Drosophila melanogaster: one gene and its partner. The gene in region 2 interacts genetically with the main gene of each other region. Each region holds a gene or a part of one and is shown on either strand. Other genes may lie near its edges. The genes, in order: Csk and cpa.

Region 1 (6,954 bases), on a different chromosome or scaffold from region 2:
GAAAAGCAAATATTGCATAAACATTTGCCTCATTATGAGGATGAGATGTATAAATGCAGATGAAATGGACAACGACAAACAAAATACTTTTAAAAGCGCACAGTGGTCACACGATACAGTGGCCGCAAAAGGAAATACAAGACTTTTGATTGTTTACACAAAGACCGCTTCTGTTGAAATCATTAAAAATATCCTAAGGCAAAAAACATTTTCCCCTTAAAAGTGTGCACAAAAGTCTGCATTACGAGTTACTACTGTATTTGTTTTGACTATTTTTGGGTCGACCATTTGCAGCTTCTTTATGTTTGTATTTTGATGCTGTTGTCTGAGGTCAACTAGTTGGCTTCAAAACGAAAGCAAAATCCGAAAATATCGTAATAAAAAAAATCACAAATACTACGCATTTTGGTTCGTTCCAATCAAAGCGAAAACAAAAACACGTTTTACAACTTTGCGGCGCGAAATTCATTGTTGTTGTGTTCGTTTTTTATTTTTATTTTTTGAATAACAAACACATGCACAGGCACACGCACACGCACACACGAAGTTATATACAGAAATGCTCATATATAGATATAGCCAACAATCGGGCCATGAATGACCGAAGCGATGCGTACAACAAAACCGATAGCCACAGTAGTAATTAAAGGCAATAACCGAAGCGTGGCGCATCGTAGTTTTTGTTACGGGTTTCCGTTCATAGTAATGCCTTTTGTTGTTGCTGTCTTTCGGTCAGTTTCTGCGTCGTCGGCAAAAATTTTCGGTCGCTGACGTCACACCTAGGCGCCACAAAGCTCCCCCCACTACCCACTGTCATCCCCCCCTTCTCCCTCTCTCTCTCTCTCTCTCTCTCTCTCTCCGGGGTTCTATGTATCCCGTTTGTTTGTGTATTGCAACATGCGTGGGCGTTATACTCCAACTGTATCGGTGTGAGTGAGCAAGTTTGGCTGTGTGAGGTCAGTGTTGCGTGAACTTTTCGCATTGGAATGATGATGTACTAACTTTTGGCGCCCACTGTTCAATATTCCCTTTATTGCGCCTATTACGACTATCTATCTCTGCCCATTTTCACTTGCGCTAATTACGCCGTTGCATGACCACTGTACTCGGGACTGATTGGAATGCTAATTGGAATTTGCAATTTTATTTATTCCGATTGGTCATACGCCATTACTTCTAGGGCTGGGCAGGTGATAGAGATAGAGATATATATTCAGTTCAAATTATATATTAGTCATATTTAGCGATGTCTAAAATAATTACGTGAATGCCTTTCTATATGCATTCCATTGTGGCTGTCTAATATACATATAATTTTGACTTATTGAACAACTGCCAAAACATCTGATCCAATTTAAACCGTACGAAAAAATACATTTCCCTGAAGAAAGCCTAAATCCATGCACCGTTCAACAATTTGTTTACGTTGACTTTATCGTATTAAAAAAAGGCTATCGACCATTTAATCTTATCATCAAACAGCTGGAATATGCATTTACGTTTATCTGGGAACGCGGTGCAGAAATGTGTACTTTATGTTTATCTGGAACCGTTGATATATGTAGATACATTCATATGTTTCGCATTCTTGAAATTATTACTTTCCTCGTTTTGTTGCCCAGCGGACACATTTTCTTCGCATATTAAAGGTTATTTTTTCCTTGCCATCTGTTTGTTTGTTTATGTTGCTTTTGCGGGTATTTTTAGCACAAATCCCTCGCCTTTTGATCTACTTGCCATTCGGGTTCGCCAGGCAAATTCGCTGGGAGAGCTGGTGCATGAGCACGGTTCCGACTTGATGCTAATTGCTCCGCAAATATGCAAGAAATGTAAAAGAGAAAAATCGGAGAAAATCACGAACTGTGCAACTGCAACTGCAATTGGAACTGCAAGCGCTGGATGCGAAAGAAACAATAAACATTTTGATGTCTACATTTTTGCAAACAACTGATTCGAGAGCGGCAACAAATTGCCTGGAAACGGAGACGAAAAGTAAACATGCAAGAGAAAAACTATTTGCCATACAAGTCGTTGGGAAAAGGAGTGTGGCGGGGGGCACGGGGTTTGTGCGACCAATAATGGGGGAATTAATTAACATGGCCAGCGGCGGCAATTAGACCAAATAAACGAAACAGAAAGGAAATCGATCCGAGTCACAAGCCTCCAATGTTGCTGGATGTGTGTTTTTACAAAGCTGTGATCGTTTTGCCTCTTGAATCTCCGATATCACAAAGTGCACTGTGCGTAATGATTTTAATGAATTTAAGGTATAAATATGTTAGGCTTATGTAGAAAGTACAATTTGATATATATAATATAATAAATTATATATGTAAGTCTTACAATTTTTCTTTAGTTTTTACTTGGGATCGCTAATAATGCGATTAAATAAACTAAATTTCTTTTAATTAAGTTTTCCCGTGTAAATATAGGCGACCGCAGAGTGGGTTACTTTTAGCTAGGCCAAAAGCGAGACCGCAGCAGCTACTTGAATGGCCAAAATCGGCCTAATGAGTTGGGCAACACATGTTTCGATTTGACTTCCATAGCGCGACGCTGCGAAAAGGAGAACCGTCAGTCGGTGGCCAAATGTGCAACAGGTGGGCGATCGCATGCGAGCGACTGGTCTTATCGCATGCAATAAATGCACGATAAAGAGAAGAAGCCGGCTCACAAAAACACGAAGAAAATCTGAGACTGAGCTTCGCAAGCGGCGCTCTCTTTCTCTGAAACTGAAACTCGGAGGTTGATTTTGTGTTTTTTTTTCTTTCGTTTCATTTTGTGTTTTTGGTTTTATTTATCGTGACTCAGTCGCGGCGGCAACTTCGTGCATCGCTTTTCAGTTGAAAACTTGCAGGCAAGGCGCGCGGTCGCGTTTCGATTCAAAAATCGAATAGTAAATAGAGAGAATAGTAAAAGAAAAAATAAAAATAAAATCGCTTGCCACGCATGCGCAGCTCATCATCGCGTGTGTGCGAATTGGCCAATGAGTGAATCGATTGCAATTGGCTTTTTGCAATACATAATAACAATAAATTATGACGGTATGCAAAGTGGCCTTTTTTTGATAATCCGATCCGTTCAGCGAAAAGGCACAAAAGGCGAACTATCGTGATGTAATACCGCGCGAATGCGAATTGTTCATATCGCTATTGTAATAATTTAATAATTAATTATACAGGCGGGAGCTATTTTTCGGCTTCGCCTCAAGGAAGTGATTAATGCAAAACATTATCAAAGTGCGAAGAAAGTGAAACAAAAAGCGCTGAAAGATCAGCATGGCTTGAACATACGTATATACTCGAGATTTGGTGGCGCAATGACCTTTGTGTGTTTGTTGTTTGATTTTATTTGCCATGTTGGGGATGTTCGCTTAATTATGGGTTTTGGCCACATGTATCGGACATTAGTATGAATCTGTGTTTCGAGTGTGTCCATGATTAATTCAAAATTGCTCAAGGCATGCACGGTCAAAACTGAAGTTGATTTTAGGGCTTACTGGTCAAAGTCAGGCTTAGCTTTCAATTAATTATGTAGTTAGACTGCTACAATTAGTTTAAATCTGATTAGGATTTTCACAAGACCCCATATCGAATGCCGAATTAATTAATTTTAAATTAATAAAGGGCTGTTTTGGTTGCCCAATGATTTTTGCACAAGGTGGCCTTTAATTGATCTGATCACCTTTCTAAAATCATTCAAATTCAAGCTCTTCGCCAAACCATGTAATTTTTTCGTGTGCAACTAATGAAGACGATCGCGTCGCGGCTGCATATTTGATTGTTTGAAAGTCTCGAATGAAAGTGCCTTGGCAGCATGTTACTGTACTGTACACTTCCCTCCCCTCACCGATTACCACTTTTTTTTTTTTTTTTTTTTTTTTTTTTGTTTGCTTCGGGCCAACTTCAATCACAGAGTGCTAATTGTTTTCTCAGGTCTCCGTGGATTGAATTCCCCCAGTCGACAAGTTCCCATTACTGCAATTTCTTCGCTTATTCTGCCATTCTGCTCGCTCTCTAACTGCACTTTTTAATCCGATCCCAAATCGCAGATCGCAGATGCAACTGCGGCGGATCGAGCGCAGCTGATCTCGAAATTGCATGAATCACTCGGCCTAAAAGACCCTCTGCACAATCGATTTGCACGCTAATTTTGGATTTGGCGACGTGCAGACACTCGACTTTGACAAAATAAAAACTGGAAAAAAATAAAGACTGCAAATTCGAAAACATTGTAGGCTGGCGTGTCGGGGCATTTTCAATTTTCCAGCGCATTAGTCATCGCCGGTCTAATCGGCCAACAAAAAACTAAAGAAAAAAAAAAAAAACGAAGAAAAAAGCAAAACCGGAGCCTTAAACTGTAACTAGTTTTTTCCAACGCTCTCTGAGCTGAGAAACTAATCCGTCGTCCTGCATGAATCTCGCACTGAAATTTGTATCTCCAAGCTGGCTGGACCAAGTGAAAGTGGACAAAAAAAGAAATATATATGTAGAAATAGAGAAAAAAAGACTTCAAATACAACTGCAGCAGACGCGTGAAACAATTTCTCATATTTTTCTTGGCTCCCCGTACACTTCGGTTATGTGTTTTCCATCCACTTATTCAATTTGCCATTCACTGCACACAAGTGAAGACGAGCTTAACCCCCAAACTGGCCGAAGATGTGCCCCCAAACCCTCCAAAGCCCCCCAAAGACCACACTTAACACTCGAAAGCCAATGGCGCATTTCATTTCTCGGCTTTGGACTCTTTCGTTTTCTTGTAATGCGTGCCAGGCACGTTAAAGTAATTGTACAAATTAATTTATTAATTAAGCCACTGGCCGGAATGGTCAGAAACAATAGCGAATGCTAAATGCTCTTTGTCTCAAGTTAAATTGCCGATCATTTGTTTTTTTTGCTCCAAGTCAGAGCTGCCGTTTTGGTGAAAAGAGGAGGGTATTCATTCGAGAAACTTTCACTCTCCGCTTGCCAAAATTATGTATGCAACAGGTATTGCCGCAAGGTTTTAATAAAACCTATTCGAAACGCAGCTCCAAAATCCCCAACGCTCATTTCGAGGATATCCGGACCAGCAAACTTACGCATCTCGACCAGGTTCAAAAACCCGACCCATTGTCTTTAGCTCTTCTGTTTTATTTTGGCTTTTCTCCTCGCTTATTGCCCACTTTGTCTCAGTCTCAGTCAACGGTTTAGACTTTTTTGGCCTTTATTTTGATTCGACTTTGTGGCGTTGGCTTTTCATTTTGCATTTCGTCAGCGGCGACACAAACTCGTTGTGTCATACATAATTCTGTTATTGTTTTATTTAATTAGTTGCGTTGTCTTTCTTGTGCGGTGCGCTTCTTTGGGCGACCGAACGCTTTTCCCACTCCGAAAAATAGAAACACTCCATCGTGCGGAGAATTTCATTTGGCCGCCACCGTTCCTTTGTGGGTCATGATAAGCAATCACTTTCCACGTGCCCAATTCTGGCTCATTTGAATAGTTAATTGTAAGTTGACATTTACCTAGGAAAGTTCAAGAAAGTGAAGATGCAGTGAATGTTGGCAAATATTTGGGAATTCTATGATAAAGATTAAACTTAAAGCCAACTGATATCCTCTTCCCTTCTGCCCCTTTGTATATCCATAAGATGGGCAAATAATTGAATCCTGCTGCTTACAAACTAAATGGCAATATCAGTGCAGAAATATCTCTTTTCCCCGCCAACTTTCCCAACATTTGTCACCTGTCTTTAGGGGATAGACAATAGTTTTGCTTAGCTCACTGCGCAGTCGACGTCGACTGCGAGGTTCCCACGCCCAAATTATTTGCACAATATGTAGCCAGAGCTCTCCAGTGAATTCCAATTCAATTCAGGCGGCTGGTTCGTGTTTTCCCAACCCAGAGAAATAAGCCAACATGGAATGCCGAACCAGCATTTGGCCCAACCAGCATTTTTCGCTGTTTGTGGAGCACTCCAAGCCATTGTCGACTATTTCAGTGAGCCGCTGACAAACCGTTAATGTGGCGAATTGACTTGCTGAGGAAAAAGCTAGCCAAAAGCCAGTACAAAAAAAAACAAACATATAGATGGCAAAGAGTTGTTATTATTATTTAGTTATTCCTCGCAATGAAGTCAATTTCTGTACGTAGCTCGGTTTTTTTTTCATCATCTAGTTTTCAACCTTTTCCATCCAGGCCGGGCTTTTATTCCATTCCTCTTTGTTTTTTTTAGCTTGAATTTTCTCTTTAGAAATTTTCCATTTGCGCTTTTTTTTTGCTAACAATTATCTGCCCTGGTCTTTTCTATCGATTCCGCCCAGTTGTCCATTGTGGATGGAGAATCGACGTATCCACATGCTGGCCGATGGCAAATCGAAGCGCTTACAGAACCTTAATTAGTATTATTAGAAACGAAAACAATTTGCCCGGCTTTGTCCACTACGGACTGGGCATTAGCCTCGATTTCAGTTCTACAACAGGCTGAAATGGCGAATTTTTATGTTTGTACTATCTGCTACTGGGCACCCACAATGGCATCCATTAGAACCAACTCCCATTTTGATTTCACTATGTGTATATATTGATAATTAGATGGTAATTGGAAAGTATTGGAAAGAATTTTAACTAGAATTTGAAAAGGTCTTTTGTAGGGATCATACAATTAAAGTTCAACCAGAGGTTTTTGCGCCATCAAAATCAGAACTTAAGTTAGTGCACTAGAAACCATTTAAAAAGCGGACTGACAACGAAAGTAAACGCAATGCGGGAACATGGTGACAACAATTAAGATAACCTGCGATGGAGTGTTCATCCAGTCCAACTCGTACCTCATGCCCACGCCTTCTCCCAGCGGAGCAGACGCCACGGTATCGTCATCCTTGGAACGGGTGCTGAAACCCGCGTCCGCATCCGCCTCTCCATCCAATTCGAACAACGAAAGTGATAACTCGCAGACGAGCAGTGGCAG
Region 2 (6,921 bases):
CTCCTCCCGCTCCATCATCTCACACAGTTCGTTGTAACCCAGGACGCCCGGCTCGCGGGAGTAGTTTCCTGCAATTCCCTTGCCAATATGCGGCGCTCCTGGCTGATTGCCCTCGGCGGTCGCTAATGTGAAGGAGCGCCCGTAGAAAGGAACTCCTAGAATCAGCTTTTCAGCCGGAGCACCTGCTTTCAGCCAATACTTGACTACGGCGTCCACGTTCAGCTGCTGTTGCCGCCCGCTAGAATCACTGGCATCCTTCTCAGCAGCGTATAGTGGAGCATTGATGCCCACCACCTGGTCCCACGGTCCGTGAAGGTCATAGGCCATCACATTAATGAGGTCCAGATACGGAACCATAGCCGGAATGTCGTACGATATTTCGGCGGAGAATTGTGCGGAGCCCACGGCAGCACTGAGTATGAAACCAAAGGGTTCCAAGCTGAGAAGGCGTTAAGGGTCAGAAAATGGGCAGCACATACAACTTCCATCATTTCTTACCCCTCCTTCAGCTCCTTTAGAAAGGTTATATAGTTCGAGCGATCCTCGTTATCCAGACTGTGACGCTGGCCAGGATACTCCCAGTCCAGATCTAGGCCATCGAAACCATGGCGCTGCAGAAACCTGACCACATCATCCACGAACTTTTCACGCTTCGAGGGATCACGGGCCACCAATGAGAATCGCTTGGAGCCCTCGTTCCAACCACCCACAGCGACGAGCGTCTTCAACACGGGATTCTTTAGCTTAAGCGCATTAAAACTCTTGATATTTCCGCGTCCACTATTCTCCTCAAGATCCAGATAGGCGTCGATCACGCGAAGCTGGCCCGTCTCCTCGATGCCCAGGAAGGCGTAGATAAGATGGGTGCATAAAAACGGATCAATATCCTCCATACCGAACTTGCCCAGACCAGGTCGATAAACGGACCAAGTGCCCTGGTAGCAGACAACGTTCTCTGCAAGGGGATTTCACTGATATTCCTCGAAATATGCAAATCTGTTATACTTTTACATACTTGAGGAGTTGCCTTGTGCAGAAGATGATGCTGCCATCAGGATTACCCCGAGGAGCAGCTTAACTAAACCAGATACGCTCCACATTGCTTGACCACTAAATGAACACTTCCCGCAACTCCATGACTTTTATAGCGACTCAATTTTATGATAAGACGGTGCAATAAATGTATTTGCAATTCGCTTTTAGCAAAATAACATGGTGTTTGCACACTTGTTGCTCAGGAGAGCATCGCAAACAACATGGGCCGCTGTGACGGTCGGCTGTGTCTCCAAAATCAACGATAACACCTAGGGCTATGGGTTCTAGAACTTCTTTAGCTTGGACAGCTGATTGTTGCGCCGCAAGGCCAGTTTCCTCAGGCGGCGCCAGTACTGCTTGGAGTTGGGGTCCAGTTCGTCCAGCGGAACTATGCCTTCCGTATTCAGCGTCCACAGCCAGTCGGGATATTCCGAATCCGGTTTGATCTGTTCAGCAAAGATACTCGTACAGAAGAGTGTATTGAGGAATTGAAAGGGTAAACTTACTTTGATATCTTCTCCTGTTTTCATGTAGTTACTTCCGCACACATAGTTCACCAATTTGTTGGCATCCGTTTCCACGGGTATGACTTTCTTCTCCATGATGGGACCCAGCTTGCCAAGCTTTTTCTTCTTGCCCGCTGTGGAATGCATTTACTATTAGTTGTTAACTATTTAACCTGGATGTGGAGGCTCACCTGGCGCCGCCGGTTTTGCAGCATAAAAACGTGCCCAGTTTCCTATCGCTGGGGCTATCAATCGCTGCCTCGCCATCTGGAAAACTGCGGTTAGGCTGGTCATGTCTGCTATGTGCTTTATTTAATCCGTTTTCGTCACTTTAATAGAAAAACAAATGATAAATTACAGATATTTACAAAACTGTGCGTTTTGTTGTATAATCTGCTAACTATAAGTGTGGCACTGCAGCCCTGGTTATAAAGTATACGACCAGTCAGCTGATTTTTCAAAACAAATAACTATCGAAATTATTTTTAAATGAAAAGCAATTTTATGAGCAATTTTATAATATGACTTAATTGTCACTAAAACAACATAACAATAGATGATGTTGTTATATTTTCTGCAAATAATTTGCATATAAATGCATTTAGAGGTGGACTTCGGTCTTAATAAGCCTTTTCACATAACGATATCGACCAGCTGTCATCGCTAATTCGACGCCGGCTATACGGTATATTACACAAGTAACAGCAGCTGGATTGTAAATAAAAAAGCGTTAGCAAGATGGTTGGACTCAAGTTTCCGTCGAACCGAACACTGGGCAATATTTGTGTCTACGGTGCGGTGGCCTCCATATCCGCTGTGATGTACATGAAATGGAAGATGGAGGATCGGGTGAAATCCGCAGAGTACTACAAACTGGCCTTGAAGGCACTGCGGAGCCATCGAGGAGCAGTTGGTCTCCTGGGTGAACCCATCAAGGACTCTGGCATCGATCTGTCCAACGCCAACAACAATTGCAATGCGGAGGAGGCGCGTTGTGAGGTGGCTGTGCGGGGCAGCAAGGATAAAGGTAGATCCATCGATTTTGAAAGCAAATCTTTGGCGTTTACCAACCTTATATTTGCAGGAACTTTATACTTTTGGGCGTCCAATCAGCCGGATAGAGGCTGGCTGATCGATCGACTGGAGCTGGAAACAAAACTCAACCCAGAGAAACGATTTTTGCTTAAAAAATCCGAGGAACTAACCTTCGATCTGCCCGAGAGTATAACCAAACAAACTGCCCAGCAAGTTGATTCCAATGTCATTCTATCCGCATCGGATCAACAACCAGAAACACATTCAAAGTGAAGACAATCCGAATGTCCGATTCAATTAGTTTATTCTCTTTAAATTTGACTAATTCAAGCAATCTTAAATGTTTTATAGTTATGTTATTTTAATTACAAATTTATTGTTTTTATAAAATCAAAGTCTTTAGTTATTGTTTGTCAATGGAGAGCTGGCAAAAATGATCAGTGGTTTAGCATAGTTATTATTCATGCTCATACTAGGTGGTTGGTTTGTGAACAATCGGGAAAGCGAAAAACTTGAATGAGTGCTCCTAATGATACCACTTAAAATAGTCGAGAGTCGGCTGGTTGGTCTTCAAAGACACGAAGAATTGACTGGCTCATCGAGAGCGCAGATCTCGAGCTTGATTCGTTTAAAATTAGAATAATACATAGGTCAGAGGACATGATAAAATCCGCGTTTAATGCTCTTCTTAAACGATAAAGGCGACAATTGGTGGCGATCGTGACGTAGACGAGGCGGCAGTGCATCGTTCACCGTCAGGCTAAAGTCATCCAAATCCTTGCAATCAAATCGTCTCCGATCGTACTCGATATATGTGTAGTTATGTTTACGCACTTTCGTCGTTGTATAACACAGTATAAATACAGGCCGTATATATATATATAAGTAGGTATATGTTCGTATGTATATAGCCAATTACAGACATTTGCTTTTTCGGCAGGCACCTGCACCTGGCCGCCCTCGTTTCTCGTATTCCTGCTACTTCGTTTCGGATGCTGTGGTGTTAATGCTGGTGATCGGTTCCTATGCTCGCTTGGCCATGGCAAGTGGAAGACTATTGGGCCGCTTTGTCGACTGTGTCCGCTCCTCTTCCGCTTGCACCTCCTGGTCTTATTGCGTCTTCAGTTCCTTGCCAATGCTGTACGAGACGATTTTGCTCCAGTCGATCTTGGTCCTGGTGATGGGCAACTGGCGACGCATTGCCTTGAATGTCGTGTCCGACATCGTCTGATAGTTCTCCGAAATGGCCAGCTGGTACTCATTCTCGGCGTCCTCGATCAGACGGATCACCTCCTTGGCCACCTGCTGCTCGTTGCTGACCACCACGCTTTCGCGGCACTCCTTTGAGGACACCAGCTGGACGTTGCCGTCCTCGTAGTAATGCACCTGCACCTTGAGCACACCCTTCAGTTCGGCGGTTCCGCTGCCCGCCTGGAAGGTCACATGCCACTGGGAGCGCCATCGGCCATTCCAATAGTTCTTCGGCTGGAACTGGTGGTCTTCGATGCAAATGGTCAGGGTGATCTGGTTGCCCTGCGCCTTTCCAAAAACAGAGCTGACCTGTAGAGAAAATGTTACGGGTTATTGTAAGCAATAGAGCGTTTTTCATTCAACTTACCCCGTGTCTATAATGACTGGCAGTGTAGGCGAGCGTCTCCAGGTCGAGGGCCGCCCTCCAGGGCTCCGCAGTGGCATCTGCCTCTACGTCCTGGTAGTCGGAAGCCTCTTTTCGGAGGTGGTCGTATTTGAAGGCTTGCTTTGTGCGCGGGTCGTAGAAGCGACCGTTTCCTGGAATGCAATTGCTTATCAGTGTGGGGCTCAAGATATCGACCGAAAGCCAAACAATGTGTGTAGGTGACTCATATGGCAGGCTTTGTCCATTTAAGGGCATTGATGGAACTGAACTCACCCAGATCGTTGTGTTCCGATATGATGGCGTTATGATCGGTGCCCTCGATGCGAACCGGAGTCAGCTGGTCCTTGTTGTATTGGGCGAAGGCGTGGCTAGCCCCATCCTTTAGCAGAGTGTCATTCTTGAGGAGCTCCCGCACATCGTTGAACACTTCGTTGAACTCGCCGGGCGGCGCATGTAGGATGAAGTCCGATACGATGCGCACCTTCTCCGCATCGGTGATCGGTGTCTGCTCCATAGTTCCACTGGTGATTCACGAAATCGGGGCTGGGCGGTTGTTTGGTTTGGTCTGGTTTCCCCTCCGGTTCCTAGGGTTCTACCTTTCGACGGGATCTTCTTGTGGAGTGGTTGGAAGTTGCGGTGTCGCTGGAACTCTTCCTTGACCGTTTTTTCGGCGCTGCAATCTTTTTTCTCCGCAATTAATGGGCCAAGACGATGACGATTCGATTCACTTTTTTTTCCACTCTTTGCTAGGGATGGGAAATATTTGTGTACCTGTACCGGATGCGATTCACCGTATTTTACGGGCAGTCTACACTGCTCCATAATCCGACGGGTGAATGGCAAAAGTCTTGGCGCGTTACTTGAATTGCAATAAAAAAACTTTTAACGATGTAGAATGTAATACATTATAGAAATAGTTCCTCGAGACCAATAAATATCATTGCCTGTTCAAAACCAAACTCAATCAGAACTTTTTTAAAGCAAATTATGTTATTGTTGTACATGGTAGCTAGTTTTGGTTATTAAATATTTTTCAGTTATATAAGTATTAAAGTATTGATCAACTCGTTTAAAATTAACCTGTTTGTTTGTGAAAAATAGTTGTTAATAATTCTATTTGAAAGCCCAAGCTGGGCCATTTTTATCTTCCAGCTTCCATTTTTAAAGAAATATTTGTTATATTAAATCCAGTGTAATTGATTCACATCAACGTATTTATCGAGAAGTGTAGACAGTATATAGTATCGATAAAACGAAAACATCGAGATTATTAACCGTTAATTATCGATGACCGAGGAATCGACGGTGTCTCACATCTCTAACGCCGCCCGTTGTTTTTGTTGCATTGTGTTTTTGCTTTTGAATTGAGCGGTTGTCTCGCGCGTCGATCGCAGTTTCAAAATCGGTGTGGCTCCGCAGCTTCGTTGTAAGTCGACAATAAAAGCGATCGAAGTGAAAGAAAATACGTTTTGCGATCTTTTTATTTAAAATAATTCGCCAGAAAGTACAAGTTCACAACGAAATACCATCGAAAAGTGCCTTTTTACCAAAAGTCGTTGGTAACACACATACCAACGCAGCGAACCGAACCACACGCACACAAATGCGCGCGCTTGGCGGTGTGCGTGTAACCACTTTTTTACCTGGTCTTACCTGTTTGCGGTGCGAAAGAGAGGAGGCAACAGAAACGGAGAAAGAGAGTGCCCAAGCGGACGAGTGAAAGATAAAAGTGAACGAAAATATCAGCCAGAGCAGCTGCACCGAAATCGGAATAAGTCAGTTAACAATCAGGGCGCGCACTGTACGAGTTCGATTCGATTGATAATTATTGAGCGGTTGCCATGAAAATGCAGTCCAAACAAACGGTACACTGAGAGAAACGAAACAAGAAGAAGAGTGCAAATAGAATAGAATAAAAAAGAAGTGGAAGTAGAAGTGGGCAACACAAACAAAAGTAAAAGGTGTGTGAGTGAAATAATACTGGGTGATTCACGAAGAAGTGCTCAAAAGTGTTGCGGTTGAAAAAAAGAGAGTCTGCGATGGCGGATCGCCGCTAGAGAGTATGTCCACCAGTGTCCAGCGAATGTCCAGAAGCTACCACTGCATCAATATGTCGGCGACCCCGCAGGCCGGCCACCTAAATCCCGCCCAGCAACAGACGCACCAGCAGCACAAGCGAAAATGCCGCGACCTTGGCAGGCGACTAATCCCCGCGAGACTCCTCCTGGGCGTTATCGTGGCCATCAGCCTTCTGTCACCCGCCCTCGCACTTCACTCGCCGCCGGACAAAAACTTTTCCGGCGACAATCGTAAGCCCGCCTTCAAAAACTGCGCCGGATACGCTCCTAAGGTCAAAGAGGAGCAGCCCGAAAACACCTACGTTCTCACCGTAGAGGCCGTCGACCCTGATCCCGACCAGGTCATTCGATACAGCATCGTCCAGTCGCCGTTCGAGCGACCCAAGTTCTTTATCAATCCCAGCACGGGCGTAATCTTCACCACCCACACATTCGATCGTGACGAGCCGATCCACGAGAAGTTCGTCTTCGTCACCGTCCAGGCCACGGATAATGGTCTGCCCCCACTGGACGACGTTTGCACCTTCAACGTTACCATCGAGGACATCAACGACAATGCACCCGCCTTCAACAAGGCGCGCTACGACGAATCCATGTCGGAAAATGCCCAGGTGAGTTTCCTGGCCCACTG

Evidence for each region.
Region 1: of cpa (region 2) and Csk, changing one enhances a phenotype caused by changing the other (phenotypic enhancement), as found in Drosophila melanogaster (one study listed by BioGRID).

The regions. Positions count from the first base shown.
Region 1 is NT_033777.3:11,642,878-11,649,831, reverse strand, and holds the start of Csk (C-terminal Src kinase), read left to right. Parts: upstream 1-2,855; 5' UTR 2,856-2,986; coding exon of another isoform or gene 2,987-3,044; 5' UTR 3,045-3,116; intron 3,117-6,626; 5' UTR 6,627-6,757; coding exon 6,758-6,954.
Region 2 is NT_033778.4:21,055,827-21,062,747, reverse strand, and holds cpa (capping protein alpha), read right to left. Parts: upstream 4,962-6,921; 5' UTR 4,727-4,961; coding exon 4,486-4,726; intron 4,365-4,485; coding exon 4,195-4,364; intron 4,137-4,194; coding exon 3,687-4,136; 3' UTR 2,865-3,686; downstream 1-2,864. Other genes in the region: Cht8 (chitinase 8), read right to left, coding at 1-439, 499-955, 1,016-1,100; mRpL54 (mitochondrial ribosomal protein L54), read right to left, coding at 1,320-1,481, 1,542-1,675, 1,733-1,835; CG15653 (uncharacterized protein), read left to right, coding at 2,280-2,568, 2,626-2,849; shg (shotgun), read left to right, coding at 6,275-6,901. UniProt on the Drosophila melanogaster protein: F-actin-capping proteins bind in a Ca(2+)-independent manner to the fast growing ends of actin filaments (barbed end) thereby blocking the exchange of subunits at these ends.